Linked DNA regions of Schizosaccharomyces pombe. The protein of the gene in region 1 interacts with the protein of each later gene in a biochemical or structural test. Each region holds a gene or a part of one and is shown in the gene's direction. Other genes may lie near its edges. The genes, in order: pop2 and rum1.

Evidence for each region.
Region 2: the proteins of pop2 (region 1) and rum1 form a complex in vitro, tested with the Schizosaccharomyces pombe proteins (one study listed by BioGRID).

What each region holds. Positions count from the first base shown.
Region 1 is NC_003424.3:5,350,358-5,361,674, forward strand, and holds pop2 (F-box/WD repeat protein Pop2), read left to right. Parts: upstream 1-4,429; 5' UTR 4,430-4,773; coding exon 4,774-6,885; 3' UTR 6,886-7,028; downstream 7,029-11,317. Other genes in the region: Sec7 domain-containing protein sec71, read right to left, coding at 1-423, 473-1,451; pgc1 (glycerophosphoryl diester phosphodiesterase), read right to left, coding at 2,249-3,068, 3,200-3,315; SMN complex subunit Gem6, read right to left, coding at 3,581-3,862; rer2 (cis-prenyltransferase), read right to left, coding at 7,035-7,145, 7,201-7,417, 7,464-7,723, 7,836-8,042; sum1 (translation initiation factor eIF3i), read left to right, coding at 8,599-8,661, 8,717-8,837, 9,194-9,996; met8 (siroheme synthase), read right to left, coding at 10,215-10,974, 11,146-11,180. UniProt on the Schizosaccharomyces pombe protein: Involved in maintenance of ploidy through proteasome dependent degradation of CDK inhibitor rum1 and S-phase initiator cdc18.
Region 2 is NC_003423.3:2,795,310-2,806,243, forward strand, and holds rum1 (CDK inhibitor Rum1), read left to right. Parts: upstream 1-4,367; 5' UTR 4,368-5,279; coding exon 5,280-5,972; 3' UTR 5,973-6,608; downstream 6,609-10,934. Other genes in the region: P-TEFB-associated cyclin T Pch1, read left to right, coding at 1-437, 481-785; SPOM_SPBC32F12.07C (MARCH family ubiquitin-protein ligase E3), read right to left, coding at 1,007-2,029; pgm1 (phosphoglucomutase), read left to right, coding at 7,208-8,872. UniProt on the Schizosaccharomyces pombe protein: Regulator of cell cycle G1 phase progression. Ensures the correct sequence of S phase and mitosis in the cell by acting as an inhibitor of the cdc2 mitotic kinase. Probably interacts with cdc2 to inhibit its action until the cell mass for Start is reached.

The sequences.
Region 1 (11,317 bases):
TCTCGAATACCGGTAAAACATGGCTAACCACATTTTTAGCCAATGCAAGGCAAATGTATTGTTTAACAGCGTCAATCAATGGTGTCGGAGTTGAAGTTGGAGACCTTATTTTCACATTTATGTCCGAAAGGATGTTCATATAAGTTCGAAGAATATGATATATAAGATGCAAGCTCATCAACTTTGATCGCATCGATTGCGACTTTAGGTCGTATTCATGCTCATACGGAATGTTTTTAATAGAAAGCTTACATAAAGCTCTGATTAACAAAAATGCATCCCGAAGCAACTGTTGCTCCAAAGAATCCTCTTCCAAAGGAGCTTCTTCACGAACCTGGTCAAAGCTTTTTCTGTGCTCGAAAGATTCAAGTGTGAGTTTGTTTTCTGATAATTGAGAAGGTATAGGAGAGTTAGCACGATCAGCTAAAACAATAAGTTAGTATAAAGAACTAAAAACATGATGATTGCTTACGAGTTCCATTACTGGATGATTTATTCATGTTAATAGTAGAAAATTCTCTTTCATGATTAAGAACGGTAGAAAGGCGCTGGAATACTGAATCAACCATTTGTAAAAGAGCTACCTGAGCAATGGCTTGGGTAGTTGAGTCTTTACATAAGAGGAAAATATTGTAAGTTTGCCTCACTGCTGTAAGTAAAAACGAATGTCTAATGATTGTCCTTTCAGAAGTAATAGCTGCCAATAAAGCCTTTACAATTTGTAGCTGCACTCTTTCTGGAGTAGACTCACCGCAAAAACAGGATGCAATAGTGTTAACCACACGTTCCATTAAGGTAATATCCGATGGATTTAATGTTGGGGAATCAAAATAATTGTAATCAATCAGCTTGGCAAAGCAATCCAAAGTAATAGTCAGCAACGTTGTACTATTTGTTTGACAAGCCATTACCAAAGGTTCCAAAATGACTTCGGGAAGAAGAAATGGCTGCTTTTGTAATTCTATTTGGACATTATTGATAGCCTCCCTAAGCTTCTTATGCCGTTTTGTAGCCTTTGCTTTTGACATATGCTTAAAAGCCTCAATTACGAAGAGTTGAGGATTGAGTTTGCCAGAGTTTTGGTTAGAGGCGTTTGAAATATTCTTCCAAATCTTTAGATCTTGTGGAGCTTCAGAAGTAGATGTAGTCTGTTTGCTCAGAGTACCTGTTTGTTCACTTTCAATCGAACGTGAATCTAAGTCATCTTCTGGAGGTCTTAGAGATAGATTGCTTTCAATATCTTTTTCCGCTTCTAAGTTTTTATCGTTAATTTCTATACTTTTTTCAGTATTAGACTGTTCAGGTATGGAATCATGTTCATCTATTTCATCAGAAACTCGACTTTTGATTGTTGATTCACTATCCGGTTCTTCTTCGACAACAGACGATCCTTTTACTTCATCAGGATTACTAGAAACCCTACTAACGGTTTCTATCTCCAAATCTGTCATTTTGACATGTATGATATTTGATGTTGTAGCTATGCAGCTATGAAAGTATTATAGTATGAATGGATGGGTACGTATACTACCACTCTGCACACCACGAACCAGATCATAATTTTTTCTTTGAAAATTAACCATTGATTATATCCCTAAAAAAATAAAATTCATTTCTTTGTAATTTGTTTGATAATTTAAGCTAGAAGCATGCTTCGAATTAAGTACGTTTTTTTTTTTTTAATTAGAAAATCTCATTGAACTTCTTATAGACGAATTTATATTAATAGTTAACTGGTAGCATCTATTGTTGATGAATCAAGGCTCTTTTGTTAATATACTGACTCAAACTATTAAAAGTGTTAACTAGTTCTTAAATATTAGTTTTCATAAGATAATAAGAGTATCAATGATTAAACTACTACTGCAGAATACGCTTGTTCCGTACTAAATGCAAATTATTTAGGACGGCATAATGCCTTGCCAAGTTATGTTATTTATTGTAAATAAGTATATTTTTGAAACGAAAAAAACGATAGAAAAAAACTTTTTTATCAATTGAAATGCCACGTATGTTTGCGAATTTCTCTTTTTTCTGCTTCAACGTGGCTGTCCTAATGACAAAAATCTTTAGTGAGCGATTGCAATAATACAAAAAGATAGAGCGTAAACTCTCAAGCAAATAAGAAAAAATTGGGAGATGGGATTTAAACAAATGGAAGAGCAACAAAAATGCTCAATCACTAAAACCGGAATTCTAGTATTCATCAATCATAATATATGTATTTTCCATATTTAGAATAACATACTTACAACACAAAGGTTCTCAATAAAAAGAAGACAAATTGTGCTCGTAAGAAACCATAAATCATATGAAGCCACTCGGAATAATGGAAATAATGCCAAGATTTGGTAACAATTGGGCCTTGGGAAAGAGCTCTAGCCATCACCGGATCATCAGATAAAAGTCCGTCACAGCCTCTAATTAAAGCAAGATAGATAGAAGAAGGTGTGTTTAAAGTCCATGCAAAGACTTGTTTACCTTGGGCATGAACGAGATCAACAAAATCCTGAGAATGAGGAAGTAAAAACAGAGCAACAGCCATACTGACACCCTTTACTCTGGGATGCATAACAAAATGTCTTTCAGCATAAGCGAAGTTGAATCCAATATGATATAACGGAATTGATGGGGCATATCGATCACAAGCAGGGATGAACCTATGTGACCATAAACAAAACGATACTTTGTCTTTCCAAAAGTCTAAATCAGAATTAACCCGAAGCATTGCATCAACCATTCTGGGAATAATTAACAAATCGTTTACTGGCTTAATGTCAACAAGTAGATTGACGCCAGGATGCTTGGTTAATTCATGCAAAAATTGTTCATAGGTAGGTAACGGCTCGTGAGGCTCTTGAATGGTACGAAAATGACCATTATCCAATTCATAATCAAGATCTCGAACATCAACATCAACACCGAATACTCTGTTAAGATTTCTATCATGCAAAATGCAAACCACTTCATCTTTAGTTAGTCGAACATCTGTTTCAACGCAGTCAGCACCAGCCTTTACGGCTTGTTGAAATGCTAGTATAGTATTTTCAGGATACTTAGCTTTGTATCTGTAAACATAAGTTAAACATTTGCTAAATTGGAGAAGGATTTTGACAATTAAGGGTACAAAGTTGCAGATATGAAACTAAGTCTACTAATAATAAAAGCAGTATGCAACTAATACATTCATAAAACATACCCTCTATGAGCAATGACCAAAGGCGGTTTTGAAAACGTGGCTAAAGAACTCGTATTTTCAGCAATGCTTTGAGCAGCATCATCAACGGTATTGGCAATTGAGTAGTTAAAAGCCATTTTGAAGAGAACGATGTTGGTATTGGGAGAAGTAAAGAATGTAGCAACTATATACCAGTTACTGTAGTCCGATGATATCACTCCGCTCCGCTCAGGTTGCAAAAAAGGCGTTGAAGTGATTCGTCGAAGTCAATTCAGTATAACAATATTTTATATAGTTAATTTACGATAAAGGAAGGAAAACATTTCCCTCGCAAAAGAAGCGAATTATCCATCAGAATTGTAGATTCAAATCATATATTTCAAACGCTGAATGCAATTCGCATCATGAAGTTAATAGAGAATCATATTCTGCTAGCGATTGTTGATTAAGAGGAGACATACTTTCGTCGGGTTCAATGGTCTGAATAGCATCCGACATTATACCATAAAAACGATAATGAGTATCTTCAACCTCGTCTGTATTGGGAGTAAGAGGTTGAATCAAAATTAATGTTCCAGTCAAGGGATCACAGTTCCAAAGAAATCCTTCTACTGGTAAACGTCCATTCTTAAACAGGACGCGCAGGTAAGAACCTCTACGCTTTTCTGTTGTGTGAGAATCCATTTCATTAATTATTCAAATAATGTGAGAAAACAAAAAAGATAAAAAAAACATTAATAAAAACCAAACTTTTTAAAACACGGTTTATGTTCAGGTCAAAAAGTAGTAGCAATTTTCGGTAGCTGTATGAGAGGCGTGGAATTACAAGATGAGTATAGCTTCCGTAGCAGACGTAAATCAAGTATGTTTTTCATTCGAACCCAAATTTTTAGTTGTTTTTGAATTTATGAAACTGATACTTAGGCCATTATGGTTTTTTTTGCTAACAATATACCAGCAATGGGATTTACAATCAGTTTTCGTATTAACTTCCATAAAACTTATTTTATTTATCAACGAACATCAAATTCTAGCTCAGAAAAATAAAAAATGCATATATTTTGTTTGAAAACGCTGCTTACGCTAATCTGTATCATATAACTTCTACTCAATTTTCTTAATCCATGTTTCCTGTTTTAGGTACCGCTTTATATTTATTTACTTAAAAAGTATCAATTCATGTATCTTTTTATTACAAGTTTTGCATTCGCATTGTACGAACTTTTGTTTACAAATTCTCCGCCAGAACTTGCCTCCTACCACACACAAAGATTCTGTATGGTATGAACAACGCATATTGAGCTTCTGTTATTTTTTCAATTAAAAGATTACTTATAAAAAAACCTTTCCATTATTCATTTTCTCTTTATGCCCGCACTTTTTAATCTGTATCTAATTTCGGCATATGCCAGTTTTTGATTAATCTGTAGAAACAAACCATAACGGTGTTGTTTCTTCTTTCCAATCTGTCAGTAACTTTTTCATTGGTCTCTTTTCCAATTTATTTTCAGATTGTTTTATCGACTGTTTTCCTTAAAGCTCATTTTTGACTTCTTATTTATTTCAACGAAAAATCACAATCATTGCATCTACGCATGTCACTCTCTAGGTGTCCAACTGACAATTCGTCCTCCCGTATAAATTCCTCTGTTCCTTTAATAAATAGCAGCAGCCCTGCTACACCTCCAGAATCATTTGATCCTCAAGTATTTCCTTCTTCACTTATTCATGGGGATAACCTGCTTCCTCAAGATGATCAAATTGCATCGGATCCTCGCTCAGAATCAAATAGTTGTAATGGCAATACGAGTTCTTCCCTGCCGTGCACTGATTCGTATCAGTACCCATTAAAGCATTCTTGTACGCCTTCTTTTCTTCGAAAGTTTAATGAAAGTATAGAGAATGTCTCTTATAAATGCTTAGACCACTCACCGCCAGATAGTGTTCCTGGCGATTTTTCCATTTCCCTTGTTCCTCAAAGGAATTTTCTATATTCTCATTCTTCTCTTCCACCTAAAATTATATCAATTGATAGAAACAATCGAATTAAGTTAGATAATAGCATTTCATCTAACTCCGACAATTTCCCTCCTTCTCCGAAAGTCGACACATCAAACACTGTTTCACCTGGTAGTAAACCTATCTCTGAGGATCTTGAAGATTTAAACTTACAGTCAATTGTTCAAACTTTTGAGGATCTTCCAGAAGGAATTCAATCTTATGCGTTTTTTCAACTACTCCGTTCGTGCAATCGGCAATCGATGCGTTTATTATTGAATGAATGCGAGCCGCTTCTAAAAAAAGATATACTTTCAAATCTTCCTTTTTCCATTGTTCAGTCTATATTATTAAATCTGGATATACATTCTTTTCTTTCTTGCCGTCTTGTTTCGCCTACTTGGAATAGAATACTTGATGTGCATACTTCATACTGGAAACACATGTTTAGTTTATTTGGCTTTCAAATCAATGAAAATGACTGGAAATATGCTAATCCAAACTTAAATCGTCCACCTTTTTTGCACAACGACCAAATCTCAGATGACTATTTTCCGGAAATTTTCAAAAGACATTTTCTCAATAGAAAACGATGGTTATTTCCTTCGATACCTCCAAGTCATCTATCTTTTCCCATTCATGTTCCAAACTTTATGATAACTTCTTTACTACTTCATAAAGACAGAATAATCACCACTTCGGGATCTGGAACAATTCAAATTCATAATGCTATTACCGGTGTTTTAGAAGCTCGATTAGAGGGTCATAAAGAAGGTGTTTGGGCTGTCAAAATACATGAGAATACACTTGTATCTGGTTCGATCGATAAAACTGTTCGCGTTTGGAACATAGAGAAAGCTAAATGTACGCACATATTTAGGGGACATATTTCCATCATCAGATGCTTAGAGATCTTAGTTCCGAGTCGTCTTATTCGCCATGGAGTTGAAATTGTTGAACCAGATCAACCGTACATTGTCAGCGGCTCTCGGGATCATACACTTCGGGTTTGGAAGCTTCCAAAAAACACGGATCCTCCTTATCTTCCAGATAATACAAACTCTATTGACCGTTGGGAGAAGAACCCGTATTTTGTACATACTTTGATAGGACATACAGACTCTGTACGAACTATATCCGGCTATGGTGATATACTTGTGAGTGGGAGTTATGATTCTTCAATTCGCATTTGGAGAGTTTCAACAGGGGAATGTCTTTACCATCTGCGGGGTCATAGTCTTCGTATATATAGTGTTTTATATGAACCAGAAAGGAATATTTGCATAAGCGGTAGCATGGATAAGTCCATTAGGGTTTGGGATTTATCGACAGGGACTTGTAAATATGTGCTTGAAGGCCATGATGCCTTTGTTACGCTTCTTAATGTATTCCAGAATAGGTTGATATCAGGTTCTGCTGACTCCACAATTAGAATATGGGATTTGAATACTGGGAAACCATTAATGGTTTTGCCGTCTAATTCAGGCTACATTAGTAGCTTTGTGTCAGATGAACACAAAATTATTAGTGGTAATGATGGTTCTGTAAAGTTATGGGATGTTAGGACTGGAAAGCTGTTACGTTTTCTATTAACAGACCTCACAAAAATATGGCATGTCGATTTTGATGCTATGCGTTGTGTGGCTGCAGTGCAGCGTGATGATCAAGCATATTTGGAAGTTATTAATTTTTCCGGATCAAGACCGTAGAAAGTTTCATTTTAACAATATTTAAGAAGACATAATTAGAGTAGTGTCTAACTATTTACATCAGCTACTAACACATATTAAATGTATACAATGTAAAATTAACAGCCAAAGCCTATCAAAAGTAAATAAGTAACGAAGGATTGAATAAATTATGCTGGTTGGTTTTGTAACTGGTATTGAATTAACATTGGGAAAAACTTCCAGATAGAAAAATCCGGCCAGTAGAAATCGATGAATTTTATCTCCGTATTTTTGTGACACTGATAAAATTAGTTGAATATCTTTGACTAGAAAATTAGGAGAATTTTTACTTACCTGCCATAACATAAAATCAGATAGACGCTCCACACCGCTAGTGCGAATCAACAAGTCTAAAGGAAGACTATCTTTTATCAATAGGTTTTTTTCAAATATATCTTCATCTATATCTTCTGGAGTGATTGTACCATCTTCTGCCATTTTTACTATTGATTGCACAGAAGTAGCAATTTCATGTCGAGAAGTGTATGGAAAGCAAACATTTAATGTTGCCCTAAGATGTCAATTAGCAAAATAAAAATTTGAAAAATTTCACATACTTTGTGTTATGTTTTGTAATTTCCACAGCCTTTAGAGCAGTTTCTAAAACGTCAGGTTGCAACCTGCTAAGATCGCCAACAATGCGAATACGGATCCCATACTGATCAACCAAATCACCATGAGCAGTAATTTGCGTTAAGCTGTTTTTTGCAATCTCCATTAACATATCAACTTCATATTTAGATCGCTTAAAATTTTCAATGGAGAATGTGAAAGCCGATACTTCTTTAACTCCTAACTTCAGACACACTTTTAATAGCTTACGCAGGGTTAGTTAATGTACCAAATTGTGCAGAACGTAGACGGATACCAATGCGCAAAACATGGAGAAACGGTACGTTTAACCTTCTATTAATGTTCTTTAAACTTACAGATTTTAAAGCTTCAAAACCTGAGCTATGACCCTCGATAGTTTCCATCCTTCTTTGACGAGCCCACCGTCGATTGCCATCCATTACAAAGGCTATGTGTTGTGGTACTTTGCCACGTTTAATTGTATTTATCATCATCGTTTCTAATTGATCAAGTGTCCATTGTAATGGAGGACAGTGAATAAACCAGCCTGATAAATTACCCATATTGTCAAGATATTTTGTCAATTCTTTTCTTTTCCTTTATAAATGCACGCTAAATATCAAAGAGAAATAATTATCTTGATAAACAATTATTTTCAAAAAACGATTAGATGTTTTTGACGCTTCTATAAAACACTCAGGTTATCCGGTTCTAGATATGTTTTATAAGTATAATTACCAAGCACGCTAGAAAAGGATTTTTAGCTAAGGAAATATACTTTCAATCGTAAACGAATGGAACAAAGAGACGCTAGTTTAAGACCAAACGCTTTTGTATTTTTTTTTAAAAATCACGAAAGAAATATTATTTTTTGTACAAATAAGTAAGACAGACAAAATTCAAACAAAACCACAAAATACTGTTTTCAAAGTGAGACGTGCGACCTTTGGGTCTAACTAGTCTAACGCAAGTGTCTCAGAAATGAAGCCAGTTCATTTAAGAGTGTCGTTAAGCCTCCTTATTTTTAATACCATCCTTAAGTTACGCTAATTAGAATCAAAATATTACAACTAAAGACTTTTCGCTCAAACCCTCTACCAGCACTTTCCTGTTCAAAAGATGAGGCCTATCATTTTACAGGGTCATGAGCGTCCTTTGACTCAAATAAAATATAATCACGATGTAGGTTTAATAACCGTCCATTATATGTGGAAAATTTACTAATTTTTGTGTGTAGGGTGATTTATTATTCTCATGTGCCAAGGATAAAGTGATTAATGTCTGGTTTTCACACAATGGTGAACGCCTAGGTACATATGAGGGTCATACTGGTGCAATTTGGACTTGTGATATTAATAGTACGTGAAAATTGGTGGTGATGTATGTTGGATTAAGACATCTAAAGGTATACGGATTATGGAAGTATAAGGAAACACGAATAATGAAACATATCATGACTCTAATAAATGTATTTTTTTTATTAGTCGTCCGATTGCAGATGGTTATACTCGTGATCCACGATTCTGAGTTGGCGTAGTACTTAAAGTTAAATATGCATGGTGCATCTCCTTTACTTATATTAATGCTACGTTTACCTCACTTCACTTCCTCGTGGAAAGCATTTAAACTTCTTTTAAATCCTTTTCCTTCTTCTTGATGCCTCAAATCCAACTAGATCATCTGTTCCTTTTCCAATGGTTACTAACTGAAACAGAAAGTAGCACTTTAATGGTTAGTGGAGCCGCTGACAATACCATGCGTCTTTGGGATGTTAAAACAGGAAAGCAGTTGTACAAGTGGGAATTTCCTACTGCTGTCAAACGTGTTGAGTTCAACGAAGATGATACCCGTATTCTTGCTGTTACCGAGGAACGTATGGGTTATGCTGGTACCGTCACTGTTTTCCGTGTTCCTATTTCGGAAAGCGATGCCGCTGCTGAAACCCCCCTTTACGTTATTACTACTCGTGAATCTAAAGCAACGGTCGCTGGATGGTCTTACTTGAGCAAGTTTCTCTTTACTGGTCATGAAGATGGCTCCGTTTCCAGATACGATGCTATAACCGGAGAATTCGTTGAATCTAAACAAGTTCATAATTCTGGTTCTACTATTACTGATCTTCAGTTTTATCCTGATCGTACTTACTTCATCACTTCTTGCAAGGATACGACTGCTAAAGCTATTGATGTTGATTCTTTTGAAGTCATCAAAACATACCTTACTGATACGCCTCTTAATACTTCTAGTTTTACTCCTGTCCAAGACTTCGTTATTTTAGGAGGTGGTCAAGAAGCCCGTGATGTTACTACTACTGCTGCTAGACAGGGTAAATTTGAAGCACGTTTTTATCATGCGATTTTAGAAGAAGAGTTAGGCCGCGTTAAGGGTCATTTCGGTCCTATCAACACAATAGCTGTCCATCCCAAAGGAACCGGTTATGCTAGTGGTGGAGAAGATGGTTATGTTCGGGTGCACTTCTTCGATAAAAACTACTTTGACTTCAAGTATACATTGTAGGTTAATTTTATTCAAAAAACTGTTGATAGTATAGTAATGGACAACGGAACTTTTTTCCAAAGATGTATCATTTTCGTTTAGGGAGCATTATATGAAAAATAACCTTCTATGAGTACAAGAGTTTTTTAATAAATTCCATTCAAAATTCAAATGTTTTAAAGTGAAAAGTAATGTAATTGTCATATTCCGTAAAGCAACTAACTTATCAAACGCTTCTTTTAACGAGCTTTTGAAACATGTTTGAGGAGAACAGCCCCAGAAATTATAATTGCTCCAAACCATATGTAGTTGTCTATCTTGCTGTAGGCTGGAGTCGTTATTTCTCGATAACTAGGTGTTTTTTTTGGGAAGTATCCCAAAAGTCGGTTGATGAGATTTTCGTCGAGCATGGCAAGTTCCTCCAAAGACCACAGTTCGCAAATCTCAATCATCCATCTCATTCTTTTGCGACTGTTTTCAGGTTCGGGAACAATGTCTCGTAATTTTTGTCGTAAAAGGCCAGTTTTTTCCAATGCCATACCAGTAGCTGGATTGATTGAACTTTCGATTTTTTTTCGTATTAAACTGGCAAGTTTTGGACCTTTACCATTGGTGCTAACCATAATTTGTAGAGGGCCGTTACGGATTTCAGACCCAAAGTAGAAATCACATTCAGGTGGAATATCCGCCGCATTGACCGGGATTTTTTTGCTTTTGCATAACTTATAAATTTCGGAAGACAAGCTGGGATCATCTATGGCTGTAAGTACCATGTTTACATCGTCAGACAAATCTTCGACTAGAAATCCCCTGTCTCGCCATTCAACTTGCTTCTCCTGTATTCTCCAAGCCACTTCTTTACAAAGACCAGCTTTTGGACTTACAACGATAACATGGGCATCCGCATTCAAAACATGCAATATACGCCCAGCTGCCACAACGCCACCTCCAACAATTAATACTTTTTTACCTTGTGCACGCCAAGCAATAATTAATGATCTAAAGCTTAGATTAGCCTAAAAATTACCTTGAGATACATCAAAAAACTTTGCTAGCTTTCATTTTGTATGCTTTGCTAATTTTTCAATTCTGTGTAGATGAAAGTTAAGATACTAAAAAGCTGAAAATGATTTATAGAGCCTTGTAACTTCATAAAGATGCTTGACTTACCCACCAGGCTGCACAGACTGATATTTTGAAGCCATTATTCAAATTTTATCTTAACCAAGTGTAGGTGTTCCTGTATACTTGAGAATTATAGTATCGCCAATTACAATTCGACATTCAGTATCTGCTTCCCTATACGGGTTAATAGTTGGGAATCCTATTACGCGTATACTAT
Region 2 (10,934 bases), on another chromosome or scaffold:
GGCAACCAAGGTTGAGGATTCCGTTCGTAAACTTCGCGATATTGTAATTAACTGTGCAAAGGTTGCTCAAAAAAACAGCAATGTTTTGGTTGACGAGCAAACCAAAGAATACTGGCGGTGGAGAGATGTTATCTTGTACACAGAGGAAGTACTGTTAGAAGCTTTATGCTTTGACTTTACGGTTGAACATCCATATCCTTACGTCCTAAGTTTTATCAAAAAATTCGTGGCTGATGATAAAAATGTCACTAAGGTTGCTTGGACATACATTAACGATAGCACTAGAAGTATCGCATGTCTACTTTACTCTCCGAAAACTATAGCTGCTGCAGCATTCCAATTTGCATTAGAAAAGAACGAAATAAATCTCTCTACTACGACTGATGGGCTTCCGGTATGGATGGAAGAGTCTCAAGTTTCTTATGAAGACGTTAAAGGTATATTATATATTTTTTTATAGCCTTAGCACTAACAATGCAGGAGTGTTGACACTAATCGACTCGTTATACAAAAAGATAAACCCTTCCAAACAAGCCCTTCCAATCGACCAAAAAAACGGATCTCATGCTTCCAGCGTAGCTCCTGGGACACCGTCGTCATTGGCTTCCGTCTCGACACAAGCTACCCCTCAACATCAAAATTCATCAGGAAGAACTGACTCATTTCATTCCCTAAACACAGAAACCCCATCAAAAAGTACGGTGGACGACCAAATACTGTCGACAGCCGCCCAGCCAAAAAAATCATCTGATACAGATAAAGAGATGGAGACGGAAGCTTCATAAAAAAGAAAAATAATTCCAGATTGGAAATTTTATAAGTTATAAAAATTATTAATGCTATCAGCATCTTTATATTTATTTTTGGATTCGAATAAATCGATAACACGGTTTTAGAATATTGCTCGTAATAAAAGGCTTAAATTAAGTTCATGAGTATTTTTAAAAAGTAAATGCGTGAAAGAAATATTGCCGGAACTTAACAGTTTGACAACTTCATTGTTTGCTTATGAGTCAGAAACTCTACGAGGATTGTCGAGAATTCGAATGCTCCAGGGTTTTCTCTTTCTCCAAGCAATGAAACCATAGACAAAAATGTCCTTAAAAACTAATGCAGCAAAGGCACCAATAATGCTCTTCTCTAACTTTGTGAAATTCCCTGGAATAAACCTTCCCAAAAATTTCCCTGCTAATGGGAATAGTAGAATCGGTCGAACAATACGGAGAATTTTCGTAGTAAAAGCATCAAGGAAAACGTGTGCCACAGACAAAAGAATCCAAAATTCAGATTCTGTATCTTCTCTTTCGTTTACATCCTCGACTTGGTTACGATGCTCTACTTGTGCTTCAAACTGGCGAAACCAATCAGTTTCAGAATCTTCAAATTCCCCGTCCGCTCCAATTACAATACCGTCAAATATACGGGTCATTAGTTCCTTATATAAAGATCTTACCCAAGGCAGAGTGCACAGTAGAAGTGAGGTATTCGAAATCTTTTCCGCGCAACTATAAATTGAAAAATGCGTGTAGAGACTAAATGCTATATCATAAGGCGGAGCTTCGTAGAACCGAACCAACATGCATGGTAATAAAGGCAATACGACAGAGGAGAAAACTGGCTTTTTTAACATTTCTATCAGGCTGCTTTCATCTGCCACCTGTTTACATATCCATATTCCAGTCTGTTTGAATATTGAATAAATAAACTTGGTAATACCTAAACAAGAACCTACACCAAACGTTACTTGAGCTAGACCAGCTTCAAGGGAATGACCGATTCCAAGAACGTTTACAGCCCAAGACTTTTCCTTTGGCGGTTTAGCAATTCTATATGCGGTAAGACATTGAGGACAACGAGTACTGCCAGATCTGGTAATGTAAGAAATCAAACAACTTTCATGAGCAATGAGTGAACACCGACACGGACGTCTCCAAGAATCATTTGAAAGGGAGCATAGTTTTTTGTCGTATTCCTCATAGCATATCCAGCAGCGAGCACTGCTTTTCTCATACTTCGCGGTGTCCGTCATTTAGCAGAACCTCGGGGTTTTCCAATACAAAAAAGAAAATTTAGAATAAATAAAATAAACGCTTAACGTCAATGTTTCAAAACAAAATAGGTTTTAAAATATAGGCATTTTCCTGAACAAATTCTAACATAAAGATAGTTCAGTACTTTCTCATAAGTTTAGGAGCCTTAGTAATTAAAAAGATTGGGTATTGAAAGTAAAGTTGAAAGTGTGGAATGAACAATATAATTTAAATGATATGAGTAAAAAAGCTGTTTACAATTACTTGTGTAGCTTTTTTAATGCAAACGATTTTAGAATAAACTTCAAATCCCTAAAACTATCGTAAAGTAGTTCGTTTTGAGCGATTGGACGGATTCGTGGTGAAAGGTGGTTGAGTGGTTTCACGAGTGCTTGTCCTGCTACGAGTTGAGGGGTGCTGAGGAACGGAGGGCACATTACTGACTCGTGAAGGTGGACGAAGTCTAGAGGAAGTTTTAGAAATTATACTTTTTCTATTTGAAGAATTGAGACCATTATTAGGAATCGAACTTGCTACGGATGGCAAGTTGGATGTTGGTATAGTAGGAGCAGAGGAGGTGGCCGATTTTGGAATTGCGGATTGGCGATGACTTGCAAAAGATGAAGAAGGAGTCCTAAGTGAGTTTGGGTTAGAAGTCGTAGCCATGCTAACCCGAGAACGCACATTCATGGATGAAGACCTTGGGAACATGGGAAGGCCTAGAAGGTACATATGAAGATGCGGCTCTTCTTGCAGGTCGGACCTTTGGATCTTTAGACCTTAATAACCTTTGCTGCTGTTGTTTTTGAAGAGCTATAGCTTCCTCTTTTTGCCTTCGTTCTTGTTCAAGTCGTTCTTGTTCTTGTTGTAATTCGATCTTTCTCTGCTCTTCGGCTTGTATTTGAAGCATTTTTTGATGTTGCAATCTTTCTAATTCTTCATTATCAAAAGACAAACCTTTCCAGTCGCTATTTAGTATTAGATTCTGAGTATGCTCCGTTTGGCTTAGAACCGATGACCATAATTGTATTAGACGATTCGAGTTGTTAATGGAGGTTTCGAATGACTTTATTTTTTCTTTAGAAGCAGAAAGACCATCCGTAAGCTTTTCTATAGTGTAATTAAAGCTCCTTAAAATCTGTAGTTCTTGTTGCAATTCAGATGTCATGTTCAAAGAAAAAGATAGACTATCCTATTAACTGAAGACAAGAAAAAATCACTAAAAAATATATAATTAACTCAAGTATAGAAAATAATTTCTTGTGTGCAATTTAAGCCTAACAAAGTATTCGATTGAAGATGTGCGAATTGTTTAAAGAAATTCAGTACAAAGAGTAGACGAAGGTTGTTTTTATTTTTTTTTACAAAAAATATAATAAATTAAATGAAACAGTTTGAAAAGAAAATTGCAGCGACTCCAGTTGTCCCTTAGAATAAGAACGATAGGAAATATGAGGCAGAGGTTAGTGTTTACACAGGCAGAGAAGAAGAAATGAATTGAATAAAGAGTTAGTTATGTGCATTACATTTTGATAATAGTTTTTGAAGAGGAAACATATTTTTAATTTTTAATTTAACGAACCTATCATTTTAATTGTTTCATTTGGCAAATGCATTGATACTATTTATTGTAAACAATAGGTAATGAAGCGTAAAATAAGTCATAACATGAACATTCATTTATGAATATTTTAATTATTGACCAATATGTTTATAATATTTTTTGATAAATTATGTTAGTAGCGTATTCCTTAAACACATAAATAAACATTGTCACGATTTAATTTTTAACAATTGTGATATATTTTGGAAATACTTAGCGATGTAGCAACCGTGTATTTACTTTGCATATTGCTGTTCCCATTTCGATTTGAAAATGGTGTTTGAAAGATAGTCGATTCTTCATAAATCCATTTTTCCTGCATTTGAGCTAAGGTAATAAATATTGCTTATACCATCAATTTGCTAATAAGGAACAATCTTAACGAAATATCCCTTGAATTAGTTTTGATAGTACTTGCTTTTAAATAACAATAAGAGACTTATTTCATTTACCATACTCGCGAAGTTTCTTCTTTATTAGAACTTCAAATGTAGTTTACTTTTATTTACGGTTTTGCAGTCATATATTTTTATTTTCGAACTGGAATATTTCTATGATGCTTAAAATTGTTAGTAAATTTTTTAGATTTTTGCTAAAGAGAACAGAAAATCGATTCTCATTTAAAATCTAACTACACATTTATGCAAAAATTGTACTTGATCAAAGTAATTAATTTAGCGTACTGCGTTACAGCCATCTAATAGTAATGGTTACCACGAAATGAGCAAATAACCAGTTAACCAGAACGTCAAACATACAGTTCTACTACTACATACATAAGCTTTGGGTTCCTTGACAGCGGTTGTTGCAAACTGAATTTTTTTGTTTTGGATTATATATAATATACAATCAATTGATCTTGTTTAGTCTTGATTCGTGTGTGTTTACTTGAGTGCTGCAGTAATATATTACTAAATTGTACGAATTTGGTCAAAGAGAATCCGCTTTTTTATCAGTTTTTTATTTTTAAAATTTAATTTTGAATTATACTCTTTACAAGGAACGGTAGCATCTTTATAAGAAATCGAGCATTCAATTTCTATGTGAAAAAGTTGAATTCGTCTAAGCAAACAACCAACTAGTTTTTAAATTCTAACATTAGAAAGAATATTTTTCCTTGTTAATTATTCTATTTACAATTTTAAAGTTGGCACATATCTTTTTTTGATTGGTTGATTCTTTGATATTTTAGCTGCACTTACTTCTTGGTATGAAGTGAAATTTTGCTTTTTAAAATAGACATTTTCCCATTCCCGTTTTCTAAAAGATTCCTTTTTTTTGTTTACTCCGAAAATTTCAATACCTTTCTTACAAGCTACAATCCCATTTTGTTCCTTCCTTTTGATATATTGAAGCCATTTCAATTGTTTCTATATTATTTCAAACAATTTTACAAATATTGTTTAAATTGTATAATTATCAAAGCGCAGTCGCTAGCTTGGTGGGTATTAAATTGTTACCTTTTCGTTTGCTACAGGTAACTTGTGAACATTTCTGGTGCTGAATTTTCCTACACCCAAAAACCATTGAAAAATACATTTTTTAAATCATATCGGAAAGCTTGAATACACGCTCTTCTGATAATCCGCTCGATACATAAAGGATTTCTTCTTGCATTTACCTGGTTTTTGGATTGTCAGTTCGCTATGGAACCTTCAACACCACCTATGCGAGGGTTGTGTACTCCATCTACCCCAGAGTCTCCTGGGAGTTTTAAAGGAGTCATCGATGCTTCGTTAGAAGGTAATTCTTCTATTATGATAGATGAAATCCCTGAAAGCGATTTACCAGCACCTCAAGTTAGCACATTTCCACCTACACCTGCTAAAACTCCCAAAAAGCAATTACTACCAAATTTAATGCTACAAGATCGGAGTAATTCTTTAGAAAGATGTATGGAAGAAGACAGAGAACACAATCCTTTTCTCAGTTCATCTGATAACCAGCTTTTGTCAAGAAAGAAGAGAAAGCCTACTCCTCCTCCTTCTGATGGTTTGTACTATGTTTTTCGGGGGAAAAGAATCAAGAAATCCTTCAGGCCTGGAACTGATTTATCTACTTTTAAGCCCAAACTCTTGTTTGCTGACTCGGCGCCTTCTTCTAGTTCAGATAACCCAACATCCTCTGTAGACCTTAATGACTATTCTCAAATTGGCATTCTCCCTCCAAACCTGAATTCTATTGGGAATAAAATGTTCTCGTTAAAATCAAGGGTTCCATCTTCCTCGTCAGGTTCCTTTGTTGCTCCCCCACCGCAAATGCGTTTACCTGCGTATTCATCACCACAAAAATCACGATCTAATACAAAAGATGAAAACAGGCACAATTTATTACGATAACTTTTTTTCGCATTTTGTAATTGTGTTTGATACCGTTTATATAAATGCCCAATCACGAAATACTCTTCTGCCTTATTCATGATAATCGTTCGTTTGAACTTTTGGTAGTAGATCAGAACCTCCTATTCTCTATTCTTGATGAAAATGCATTTTGACAAACGCTGGTCGTTAGTCATTCATGGTAATATCACCACAATATCACCACGATTTTCTTAATTGAGTATCTATAATTACATTTCCCCATCTTTCCATTTGTGCCTATTCATATTCCATTTGGCAACTTAATTTTTTATCGTCCTCCCGTGTCTGCCCTGAGCCATTGCAACTTTTTTTAGCAACCTTTTACGGCATGCTTTGAAATATTATACGTTTAACTTATTTCCTAATTTCATCCACTGAGCTTTTACTTTAAGACTTATACTAATATTACATGGCTTTCACAATTTTCTTTTCTTTGTTCAGAGAGTGAATATATTCTGAAATGTTGTATTTATCGATTAGTTAATAATGCTATTCGATTTCTAAATTTTTTGCTGGTTTGGAAACTATAGTCTGTTATTCTCAATAACTAGTTTTATATTCAATTGTTTTATCCCAGTAATAAAAAGGTATTTTTATACCGCATATACAATACTATTCTAGGCTTCTTAGACAGTTATACACATTACGGTATTGCTGTTACATTGAGTTAATTTGTGGTTTGGTGATATAGTGAAGTTTACTAGCTGGTACTGAAATCCTACAAATGGATAACAAAACTGGTTCTAAGCGTATGAAAGGAGTCTTTGGGTAAAATTATAGTGTAATATCGTTTCGTTCATTGAAGTAATAATTAGGCCTAACCGACTCTACTTGACTAACATTTTTTCTTCACACCATGAAGCATGATGAATAATGTATTTATTTATGTTACCTGAGCGGTAAGATGATTTGTTTACATAATGTCACTTTTATTTACATTTGCACTGCAAAATGACAACAAGGAAGCCACTTACATCACAGTGAAGTTCGTTAAAAATTCGTAACTCTTATATTTACATGGTACCCGTGTTTCTCCCCTCTACCATACTGAGCATATAAAATAACACAAAAGTTAGTGAATCATTTTGTGGCATATCCGAACACTCCTTAGCTTTTTACGAAGCAAAACAAGAAACGATTAATAATATCATCTATCTTTTATTGAAAGTCTAGAGTTTGCATAAGTCGAGGCTGTTTACTCATAGGAACACAACATGATCGAAACAATCCCAACGAAACCATATGAGGGCCAACGCCCTGGTACATCAGGTCTTCGCAAGAAGGTTACTGTCTTTGAGCAACCAAATTACGTTGAGAACTTTGTTCAAGCTACGATGGATGTAGTTGAACCATCTGCCAAAGGAGCCCATCTAGTTGTCGGTGGTGATGGACGTTATTTCAACTTTCATGCCATCCAAGTCATTGCTGCTATAGCTGCTGGCAATGGTGTTGAGAAGATCATTGTTGGTACAAATGGATATCTGTCTACTCCCGCCGCTAGTCACATTATTAGGAAGTACAAGCTAACCGGCGGTATCATTTTGACCGCTTCTCATAATGCCGGTGGTCCCAAGAACGATTTCGGTATTAAATATAACCTTGGCAATGGTGGACCAGCACCTGAATCTGTTACTGAGAAAATTTATTCCATTACTAAAACCATATCCGAATACAAAATGGTAAAGATTCCTCCCTTGGATTTAACGACGACCGGTGTCCGTAGATATGGCCCATTGACGGTTGAAGTCATCGACCCGGTCAAGGATTATGTTCAGTTGATGAAAGAAATCTTTGACTTTGATTTGATTCGCAGCTTCCTATCCAAAAACCCCGATTTTACATTTGTCTTTGATGCTTTACATGGTATCACTGGTCCCTACGGTGAGGCTCTTTTCTGTAAGGAACTCGGTATGCCTTCATCAGTTTGTCAGAATTGCAAACCTCTTCCCGACTTTGGTGGTGGTCATCCTGACCCTAACCTCACTTACGCCAAGAGTTTGGTGGCTCGTGTTGATCGGGATAACATTGTAATGGGAGCAGCATCTGATGGTGATGGTGATCGTAACATGATTTATGGTGCCAATGCATTCGTCACACCTAGTGACAGTGTAGCCATCATTGCCCATCATGCCGAATTAATTCCATACTTCCGTGATGGAGGTGTTCATGGGTTTGCTCGTTCAATGCCCACATCTGGCGCCATTGACAGAGTTGGCAAGTATAAGGGAAAGAATGTGTATGAGGTTCCTACTGGTTGGAAGTTCTTCTGCAACTTGTTTGATGCTAAGCGTTTATCCATCTGCGGTGAAGAGTCTTTTGGAACCGGTAGTGATCACATTCGAGAGAAGGATGGCGTTTGGGGAATCTTGTGTTGGTTGAACATTCTTGCTGGATTGAACGCGCAAAACCCCAAGATCAAGACGTTGATCGATGTTAAGAAAGATTTTTACAATATTTATGGCCGTACATTCTACAGTCGTTATGATTATGAAGAGTTGGAAAATGAAGCTGCCGGTAAGGTGATGGATAGAATGCGTGCCATTGCCGATGATAAGAGCAAGGTTGGAGAGGCAGTTTTGCCTGGTTTTGTCGTTTCTGAAGCCGGTGATTTTGAGTATCATGATCCCATTGATGGTAGCGAAAGCAAGCATCAAGGATTATACATCAAATTTGAGAATGGTAGTAGAATTGTGACACGTTTGTCCGGTACTGGATCCAGCGGAGCCACGTTACGACTCTACATGGAGAAGCACGAATCAGATTCGAGCAAGTTTGATCTTGATGCTCAAGTTGCATTGAAGCCAGTGGTTCATGCAGCTCTTGAAATCTTGGCTCTGGAGGAATTGACTGGTCGTAAGGAGCCAACTGTCATTACTTAAAGATAGTATATTTTATCATTGAATTTATGAGGTTTATTAGCTGAATTAAAAAACTACTAGCGTTTTAACGAATTATTTGCACTGAATTCATGAAAATCATGAGCAATAACGAATTACATTTTTTTTTACTAAACCCCTTGAGGGTTTTTCTTCTCTTCTTTTTTTTTAATAATACTTTGTATTACTAGGAGAAATGAATAAAAGCATTTTTACCATGAACCAACTCGATTGTTTAAAACTCAAATATGCATAGAGAGAGAGACAGACAGTAGGATAGAGGGATTTATTATTGGGTTTGCATAATGGAAAAATGATCATAAAGTAAACATTAGCTTGTAGAACGGTTGGGAATTAAACGGAAAAAGTTTATTTCTAAAACAAGTGAGAACTTGAATATAGATTTTAAAAGGAAAACATTTATAAATATTTTCTTAATGACTATGCTACATGAAAAGGAATCTGAGGAGTTGAAAAAGATACTTAATATGGAGTTGGGCATACCGAATGATGTATGAGAAGAGGAATGCTCAGTACCGTTTGTCCTAACGTAAAGTATTAATAAATAAATGTTGAATGCGCGCGATAAAAATTAAGATACAAATTATTTTTACAAATGCATATTCCTATACCATTCGAATGAATTTCAATCCAAATACCCATTTTCAATAGAGTGTGCGGCATACAAAAGGAAAGAGACACACTACAGCGGAGCGGTCAAGTAACATTCCAGCAATTGCTAGTCAAGAATTTGGAGAGTCGTCTTACGATGGGTATGGAAAGTAATGAGGAAAATGCGTTACCAGCCCTTTAGGCAAAAGTCTAGTCATTTTAGAAAAAAGAGTTTAAACTTTTTTATGCTTGTTTGCAAGCAATTGCAACAATTCGCTGAAGTGGAAAGATGGATCAGCGGGAATTGATGAAAAACGTGTTACTCGGTGCGGAATCGAGATATGAAATTGAGTAAGAGTAGAAAGGAATTGATCGAGAAACGGAAAAACTAAGGGAAAAGAAACATGCTAGAGTTAGAAAAGCTAAAACGTTAATTTGAATGGTGTTCAAAGACCGTGGTTTTAAAGATGTAAAAGCAATGGGTAATGGGTATGTAGGTAGTAGTAGGTAAGTGTGAGGATGCGTTAGTGAGTATGTAGAGAAGAAAAAAATCGAAAGAAAAGAAAAGAAAAATATAATAAGAAAAAATAAAAGAAATAAACCATCTGAGGCGAAATGAAGGCGCATAAGTCGGGTAGATGCGTATACACTAAAAGTGCGAGTAGAGACTAGTTTACTCAATACATCTACGCAAACAAAAAGTACTTGCGAACCAAGTGTATGGAAAGGAGGAGAAAAAAGAAGAAACGTTACAAAAAAGAAGATGAAAAAGAACGTATATAGTTATGAAAGTGCGGGAAGAAAAAAAAAGGCAAACAGCAGACATGGAAGGAAAGCGGGTTATTACACTTTATACTATTATAGATATTCTATTATACAGGTTAAATAAGTAAAAGAGTAGATGGGTGGTGGTGGAATGGGAGTGTTGTAAGTAAAGCGATATTGCCAAGTACGTTTGGAGACTGGAGCAAGTGATGTATCCTGAAACTGTTTCATTATAATGCATATTTTATTTGTATTGTGTATATGTATATGTATGTGTATGTTTTGCTTTCCTATCAAAACGAAGAAGAGCGGATTTTCGAGGCAAGGCCAAGAAGCGCTTTGCCGATTACGTGACAATCGTACACTATGTTATTGATACAATTTTGCTTATGATGCACCATTATGCCTAGAAAAAAATAGAAGCGACGACGAAATGCCGACGATGTAAACGAAGTGTTTGACAACAGCCACCTTGTTAAGAAGGTAGAGAAAAGAGAGGAAACAGAGTGGGAGCGAGAGAGAAAAAAGAGGAAAAAAAGAGAATGGGCAAAACACCGAGTGTTAATAATGGAAAATGGAAAATGGGAATGTACAAGGTTAGAAGAAAGTTGGAAACAAAAAAGTTGAAAAAAAAAAGTTGGAAATGCAAGTAGATTGTGAGTTGAGTCAATGTTTATTACGAGTCGAT